2 linked regions of the Arabidopsis thaliana genome follow. The protein of the gene in region 1 interacts with the protein of each later gene in a biochemical or structural test. Each region holds a gene or a part of one and is shown on either strand. Other genes may lie near its edges.

Region 1 (5,034 bases):
GAGATGTCTGCCTCTGGCTCTGGCATAGTGCATAATGGTTGGTGTTGATGGGGAGAAAGAGAAGAAGTGAACTTGTAAATGTAAAAATCCTCAAATAAATAAAACGGACCCACATTCTCTGTAAATGTAATTTAAGGACTATGATCAAGACAAAGTTATACACTTTAACCAAAATAAAATAAAATCTTTATTATTATGCTTTATTTCTAATGCATCAAATGTTTTATTTTTCTAAATAAATATATTGTATAATAATATAAATGCTGTAACGTTTTTGAAAATATCTGATTCTTTTTACTTTGCTTTATAAGGGAGGTCTAAGTAGGGTGCCAAACACAAAAAGATCTAAACATTAAATCAAAATTGCCAAAAAAAACAATAGACTTGATCCAAATTTGGATATTTAGACATTTATTTGGATCATAAAGACTGCAACAACTCAGTGGTTCATTGGATTCCTTCTTGTTTCCTAAATTAAACTTGTTATGTTTGTGATCAAGTAAATGCTTGTGTTGTGTTGTGTGTTTTATTGAGTTTATTGCTTGTGTACATTTCGAGTTTTTTTAGAGTGTATGTCAAGTTATTCAAGAATACACATTTTTCAAAATTTGAAATTTTAGATCCTCAATTTTTAGATCCACCATTGGGCTGTCTCAAAACTAATAAACACTGAAAGTGTCTAAATTTTTGATTTTCCAATATTAAAATTATAAATTATGTTTGGATCCAACCATTAAGGATGGTCTAAGCGTCTAAATACATTTAGGACTAATTCTAGTCATAATTATTTCTAAATATCTTGGACCTTTCTATTTGGCAAGGCTGAGTGGTTTTTTTTCTGTCAAAAGGTTTTGATTTTTGTAATAGAAAATTACAATAGGGCCGAAAGCCCAACAAGAAAACAAAACGAAAAGAGATGGCCCAATCACAATACGGGCTCGCCTGAAACCTAATCGGAAGAACAACGGAGGTAGAAAATGGCTAAACGCCCATCGATCGAACACGCTTGCTTGGAGAGTCTCAAAAAGGTGATTCAATCAAACATGTTTTGTAATTGACCATTATTCAAAAAACATATTTATCTAGATGGAGTAAATTTTATGTTTTAATTGAATTTGATATTACAAAGTGACAGTATTAGCAAATAACACTCCGCCACTTCTAGACACCAACTCTTTTGTCCTTTATTTACTTTACTTTTACCTCCTCTGCTTCACACAAGTTTTGAATAAGAGATTCTCCACAAATATCCTCCACAAAAGCCTCCATGTTCTTATCCGAAGATCCTCCTTCTCTACCCGCTTCCATCGCTAAACGCTTCCATTTCTTTGCGTTTTCCCTCAACTCCACCGACTTCTCCTCCATCACGGCTTCCAAACACCTCCTGATCTCTCCTCTCTCCACCAAACCATCCTTGTTCTCTCTTACCCTCACACCAGTCTTCCAACTTTCTTCCAGTAGCTTCGCGTTCGTCGGTTGATCCGACCACATCGGAAACGCCACAACCGGAACGCCAAGAACCAAACTCTCCAGCGTCGAGCTCCACCCACAATGAGTCACAAAACAACCTACGGCTCGGTGACTTAAAACCTCTATCTGCGAACACCACGACACAATCATCCCAACCTCTTCAAGCTCGTGTCTGAATCCAGCTATCTTCTCAATCTCTGTCTCTTCTTCTCCTTCTGTTTTCGTTTCTCTGTTGGATTTATCAGTTATAACCCACAAAAACGGTCGTTTCCCTTCTATGAGTGCTCTCGCTAGTTCCTCTATCTGTTTCTTGGACAACTCAACCATTGTTCCAAAGGAAACGTAAATAACAGAGGACTCTGTTTTCGAGTCTAGCCAAAGTGTATAACTACTACTTTGATCTTTAACTGATTTGTTGGTGCTTCCTGAGAAAATCTCCGTGGGAAGTAAAGGACCAACCGCCACCATATCGATATTCGGGAAAGCCGTTAAGGCCTCTGGTTCCAGCGAATCGAAAGTGTTGATGAGAATTTTCGGTTTGGTTTCTTTTATGAGAAACTCCATCATTTCTTGAAACGCATCGTATGCGCCTTTGTTTGTGTTGGAAGGTGTGAGGAAAGATGGAAGATCTCTGATTTCCAGAGAAGACAGATTAGGTAACTCGAAAACGGACTTGTTTCCCATGAAATGAGTGTAATAGATGTTGAAAACCAAAGCCGGTTGGATCCAGAGAAGAGCGGAGGGAAGTTGAAATCTACGTGCTACTTTTGGAGCCCAATTGAGAAGAATCGTGTAGATCAAGCAAGTCACGGGAGAGTCACCATTCTTAGTAGCTTCGATGAAATCCGATAGTGCCTTATCGCCGTTAACCTTGAGATTCACCGACCTTTTCTGACGGTCTTCGTAGGTGGAAATGCCTCCATCGTCGAAACCGTCGGAGAAAGTAAGGAAAGAGAGATTTTCGACTTTGTTGTGGTTTGCGATCATGGAGTTGTGGAAGACGGAGACACAAGTGACGAAAGTGACACGTGCGCCGGTTCTTTTGATGAGCCGACGAGCAAAACGGAGAGATGGGTTCACGTGACCTTGCGCCGGAAACGTTACCAGTAGAAAATGCGGTGGCGCCATTTTTTTTCTACTTGTCTTAGCTCCACTGAAGTGAGTATCAATACAAGAATCTGTGTCTCTCCTTGTGGATATATCTGTGCTTTCATATGTATATATATACATATATATAAATATAGATGAGGAATTGGATTTTGATGTCTGCACATGCATGCGTATTCATCAAACATACGCAAAATTGTACCACATAACTTGTGACGTCTGCGATGACGCTCACTAGATAAACGCTTCATCGTATAAATCCAAACTTGCGGTTGTTTTTTGCAGATTTGATGTTTACATATCAATGAACATACAAACAAAAACAACATATAGACAATTTCATTTCAGTCATATAAAATAAGAGTGAAAAAGAAACAGAGTAATTGCTTTTATTTGAGTTTTATAACTTTTATGATTACCAACTTTCTTTTAGTACTGTAGTTTTTATTTGGAAGAGGAAAAAAAAACAGTATTGCACTATACAAATGTAGAAATAACTAGCAACAGGTAATTGAGACCATTATCAACAATGAATGATTGATTAGTCCTGTCTTTATCATGACCTATGTGGAAAAGTTCAAGTGATATACATTTTCTTTTTGACTTTTAGAATGGAGAACCAATGTTTTCGTCTTCCATATGAAAAAGATACGTCTCATGCACTTTCTATTATAATGGACGCGAACTTATGGAAATGGAAAATAATTAACATATATCTATGAAAGTTACAGGAACTTTCTAACTATAGATTACTTGGGAAGGAAACAATAACAGATAACCATTAAATCTACACATACGCCATTTACATGTGTACATGTCACTCCTTGTTTTTTGAAGACCGGTCTTTTCTTTGACCACCAAGAATACGAGAGATTTGTAGACCTCTACTAAAGGCTTGGTTAAAGAGCATTCTTGTCTGGAACTCAGACACAAAAGGAAACCAGGCCAAAAACGCAACTGGTGTGAACAGAAGCAAGCCCATCACGATCTCGTAGCCTCGAGCTAGCGTCCTAACTGATGACCATATCCCTAGCTGTTGGATCAGAGGCTTACACGCTTGTGCAATCTGACGTGGAGGACAAAACAAAGCAACTGTCACAAAAACCAGACAAAACTGGTATCTTAGATACAAATAGAGGAGTTTGATGGAGGAGAAAGACTTACGAGAAGCATTCCCCATCCAGTTGGCATGAAGGCAAGCATGCAGATGAATAAGTCTTTGATTGTTATCAGAGGAAGTGCGAGGAAAGTTATGAGAATTGCCACAAATGTGAGGAACACAAGACCCTTTATGATTCTGAATAGAAGCTGGAAATTCGTGCTGAATCTTCGCCTTCCAACGCCCAAACCCTGCAATGATCGTTACATAGAAGAAAGCAACACAATGTTAAGATTTGGCAAGAAATTGAAATGTGAATGTGCTTAAAGATTCATACCTTCACAATCAGTAGAATGAATAAGATCACAAACCATGACGCTCCATAAACCTGAAAACAGAGTCATTATCGTTCAATAATCAAGAGTTTCACCATTCACAGGGAAGTAGTTATAAGGTTAGCTTACCCAAAAGCTCTGATTTTTTCCTTTGAAGGTACTGAGATGATACACAAGTCCATATTGAAAGATGAAGAAGCGCAAGGCCAAAAAGATCTCAAGGGTGATACCACGAACCCCTGAATGTCTAAGATGTTCTAACTCTTTCTCCCACCAAGATTCCCAACTCTTCTCAGGAGGGACACCAATTCCTCCTCGGTTATAAATCCATTTGTTCCAGTCTGTCCAGTCATCAACAATCTTTTGCCACTCAAAACCAGACGGATTGAAAAGGAAAGGAGCAAAGAGCCATGTCACCACCATGAACCATATCGAAACAGTGATCAGAATATAAGTAACCACACCCCTATATGATTGACCAAAGATCTGATATACCAGTAGAAGAATCATAAGTTCAATGCCCTTCACAAAGTGACTACGGGAATAGAACCTATAGTTCTCAGCAAATTTCGCGTGGAAGACCACAAACCCTCGACCAGTTCCTCTATACTCTGCGCCTCCATGAAACAATGTCCTTCCGTAGTAATGTGTTTTTGTCCCGAGCTGAAACGTGAAAAAGACGGAAGCAAGTTGTAACTGCATCAGCACAAACTCAATCAATGCATTGTGGAACCCCCTCTCAAGTCCAATCTCCATCATCATAGGCAAAGCCATTAAAAAACCAATCTGCACAAATGATTGAGAAGCAAGAGCTGCCTCAAGAGGCTTATTGTTACGGAAAGCTCGTTGGCTACTCAATCCTTCTTCAAGCCCACTAAGTACTAGATATAACCGTCCATAAAGAAACACATACACCGTAAGCACGGTTAACTGTCAAAACACACAGATAATGGCTTCAGTCTTGAGAAAGAAAAACAAACCTGCCATGTATATATCTAGTGATTGAGAGATAAAAAGGGAGAA
Region 2 (3,659 bases), on another chromosome or scaffold:
CCAGTTGTCACTGCTTTCTCTTAATGGTTTTACGAGTCAAATGCAGGTATCTCTACTTCCTGGAGAAAGGAAACCAACAAGTAACAGGCGATACAATCAAGAGCTTAGCTGAATTAATCAAAAGCGAGACAAAGAAGGTTGAGTCAGGCGCAGAGCCATTCATAAATAGTACTCTACGTTACATCGAGTTTCAGAGACAGCAAGAAGATGGTGGCATGAATGAGAAATACGAGAAAATCAAAATGGAATGGTTTGAATGAATTTATTTCTTGCATTCTGTTAGGCAAATCATCAATAATCAATGGCTTCTCGTCTTGTTGCAGAAGCATGAAGAGTAATCTTGAGAAATAAAACTTGTATCATTACTTTTCATTTCCTAGTTACACTCTCTACCAATAAACATGTTTGCAAAGTTTAAAACAGTAACATACAAAATATGGTCAGCTGAAGAAATGGTGGGAATGAAAACTGATTCAAAACATGTGGTGTTTGTGTGGAATTATGCATAGGACTGAATCGTAGAAGCAAAAGAAACGTTGATTCCGACAAACTCCATTAATATTAAGAACAAAAAGGACCAGTCAAACTTGGGTGTCTGTCCATTAACACATTGATTCATTCATTGTTAGAAGATTAATATACCAAAACCAAATACATAAAAACAGAGATTTCCAATCATCATAGAATGGAGCATGCCTTCTGCGCTTTGCTCTTCTTCTTCTTCTGCTTTGGCGGTTGCAACACCACTCGGATGGCTGCGTCAAACACCGCCTTCACATTCTGCACTCTCACATCATCAACATTAGCATTAACATTAACATTAGAAATCTGCAACAAGGGTATATATACTAATCTACGTACCTCTTGAGTTTTGGAACTGCATTCGATGTAAGTAGGTGCTCCTATTTGCTTCCTCAGCTCCTCTCCCTGAGCAGTAGTAATCGGAACAGCACCAGGATGGTCGATAAAGAACTGTTTATCATCTCGAAGATCTGGAGAGCAAAAACACAAACTCAGTCACAACTAATAAAGTAAAAGGAGCGAGATCAGGAAAAAACAATGGAAAACTCACCAAGCTTTGTTCCAACAAGGACGATGGGGACACCAGGCGCGTAATGTTTCAACTCCGGGATCCACTGCAAACACAATTTGTGACAAGAGTTCAAAAAATGTGACGAAAACTCAATAATATGAAACAAGATTGATGGATTTTTAAAACCTTTTTGGAGACGTTTTCATAACTGGCTTTACTGATAAGAGAGAAGGCCAAAATGAAAACATCTGCTCCACGGTAACTCAGTGGTCTTAATCTATTGTAATCCTCTTGCCCTGTTTATTCATACCCAAATTTTCAAAATCTTCAGATCCAAAAACCATATTCCAAATTTCAAACACCAAGATATATAGGAAAATGAAAAACCTGCAGTGTCCCACAATCCAAGATTCACAGTGCTTCCATTAACCACAACATTGGCACTGAAATTATCGAAAACGGTAGGCACATAATCCTGTATATCCACAAAAGAAACAAGAAACATGAGATATGTTGTTGTTGTGGTAATGAAACAAGAAACATGAAAGAATAATTGGGACATAACCGTAGGGAAAGTGTTGCTTGTGTAAGAAATCAACAAACAAGTTTTTCCGACAGCTCCATCACCAACCGTCACGCACTTTACGAACCTCGAAGCGCTCATTTCCCCTCAAAGTTTATTAATTTCAGGGAAATTTATAAAAAAAAAGATCTCAAAGATTTAGCCTTTGGAATTGGAGACTCTTGATATTTCTATTGATCGACCATCTGGGCATTGCGGATTCGAAACGATTGGAGTTTGTCCCAGAGATTAGAAACCCTATTACCCAAAAAGATAGAGGGGAAACAAAAAAAATGAAAACTGGAAGATGGCACAAAAACCGAAAAAAAACAAAGAGTTAGTTAGAGTTAGCTTTGGCCGGGAAAAATGGCGTTGAAACGTTCCGCTAACCAAACTTGTCTTTCTATTTCCGATTATTGTGGATTTCCTCTTTTAATAGCTCCCAACTAATCAAAATTACCAATCGATTGTGTGTTTATTTATGGGAAATCAAATTAGGCACTTGTCTTTTTCTGCCGCTCAAACGAATCATCTCTCTTTTCTTCTGTTACGTACACATCACGAGTGTTTGATTATCATTAAACTTGCTTACTTCTTTAAGCAATCCCCTTAACTACCTCACTAACTAACTAACTAACACTTCTCCAATGTTAATAATACCTTGGTAGGTCACCTTCCAATGATTTGACTTGGCTAAGAAGTAGTTGAATTGATGAAGTTTCAAGCAGTGATTCAATGAAAAGTCATTTAACCAATTTCATTTCGAAAACAGCATAAACTCAACCTAACATTCAACCAAAAGATTAGCTTGGATCAAGCAAAAACAGAGAGCAAATGGTAAAACAATTTGTCTTTCTCTCTTTAAGGAAGCAACCTCTTAACCTCCTCTTGATCCTCACCGATGCTCTTAGCTTGGTTGTACACAGACTCAAAGGCTTGCATACACACACTTGAAAACCCAACCATTGCCTGAAAGACATGAGGGAAACCCATCTGCAAGTTATTTAGAGTCATGGCTCTAGTCACACTCACTGACTTCTCATGCTTACTTTTCTCTTCTTCTGCTTTTCCTTTTAGCATCTCAACCTTTACTCTCTTCTCTATCACCGGGTTCTTTTTCCTACTCTCAGGTACCGAGTATGGACTATACTTGCTCTCAAGCGCTCTCAGCGAAGCCGATTTCTTCTCGAAATCTTTTAACATGGATTCTGTTCTCTTCTTTTGCTTATGCTCGTCGGCTTGTTGAGCCACAATTCCATGGACTGCTGTCAGAAAGCTTTTGATCCCTTCAGATGCTACTTTATCAGGGATCCTGTCAATAGCTAAATGCCATTCCTCGCAGAAGCTGTAGATCTTTGACTCGTAGCTACTCCTAACAAGTGGATTCTTGCTGAACTGGAACAGACTTAACCTGAGCCAGCCCGTGAGAGATTGTATGTAGTCACGTTGGGCCTTGACCAAGTTGCAGAAAGAGTGATGCCATTGTTGGACCTCGAGCTCAAGCTGAAGAGTTGATTGTCGGTGAAGCTCAGATGTTGGTTCAGTGGAGGGGATGGTGTTAAGGTACTTAAGCTGCTGCACAATATGGGTTTGAACCTGGTGGCTCTCGTACATACTCCTCCACATACACATTAGCCTACATTACATTCATACAAGAACCTTGTTCACATTGACCAACATAAGATACTTTAGGTTAATGAAGCAATGGGAATGCACAAAACAAACCCTTTAACAAGCTCGACAAGCTGAGGGTAAAGCTCGGTCTCTCTGAGCTTGATGATCTCGTTAGAGGCGCTTTGGATGGCTTGTGAAGATACTGAGAGCTGAGATTCTAACTTCTCGACGTCTTTCTTAGCCTTCTCAGTCTTGACATACTCAGCTCTCTTCATCTCAAGCCTCCTCACTTGCTCCACTTTCTTCTCATGATCCATCTTTATGCTCTCTGCATACTGCAACAAAACCCACATTCAAAAAACAACAAACACTCACTCACTACTTGGCAAGATATTTGTGCCAGTGTACATAACACATTATTCATCAGAATTAAGTACACACGTGGGTCTC

What was found.
Region 2: the proteins of UGT75B1 (region 1) and ROP1 form a complex in vitro, tested with the Arabidopsis thaliana proteins (one study listed by BioGRID).

The regions. Positions count from the first base shown.
Region 1 is NC_003070.9:1,644,486-1,649,519, forward strand, and holds UGT75B1 (UDP-glucosyltransferase 75B1), read right to left. Parts: upstream 2,951-5,034; 5' UTR 2,749-2,950; coding exon 1,189-2,748; 3' UTR 815-1,188; downstream 1-814. Other genes in the region: CALS1 (callose synthase 1), read right to left, coding at 3,395-3,643, 3,742-3,927, 4,014-4,064, 4,141-4,941. UniProt on the Arabidopsis thaliana protein: Possesses low catalytic activity on indole-3-acetic acid (IAA) in vitro. May transfer UDP-glucose from sucrose synthase to callose synthase for the synthesis of callose at the forming cell plate during cytokinesis. Has high affinity for 4-aminobenzoate.
Region 2 is NC_003074.8:19,041,235-19,044,893, reverse strand, and holds ROP1 (RHO-related protein from plants 1), read right to left. Parts: upstream 2,037-3,659; 5' UTR 1,698-2,036; coding exon 1,599-1,697; intron 1,509-1,598; coding exon 1,421-1,508; intron 1,330-1,420; coding exon 1,220-1,329; intron 1,137-1,219; coding exon 1,073-1,136; intron 993-1,072; coding exon 862-992; intron 781-861; coding exon 679-780; 3' UTR 501-678; downstream 1-500. Other genes in the region: VPS35C (VPS35 homolog C), read left to right, coding at 47-260; AT3G51290 (pyridoxal-phosphate-dependent serine hydroxymethyltransferase, putative (DUF632)), read right to left, coding at 679-780, 862-992, 1,073-1,136, 1,220-1,329, 1,421-1,508, 2,478-3,231, 3,321-3,544. UniProt on the Arabidopsis thaliana protein: May be involved in cell polarity control during the actin-dependent tip growth of pollen tubes. May regulate callose synthase 1 (CALS1) activity through the interaction with UGT1.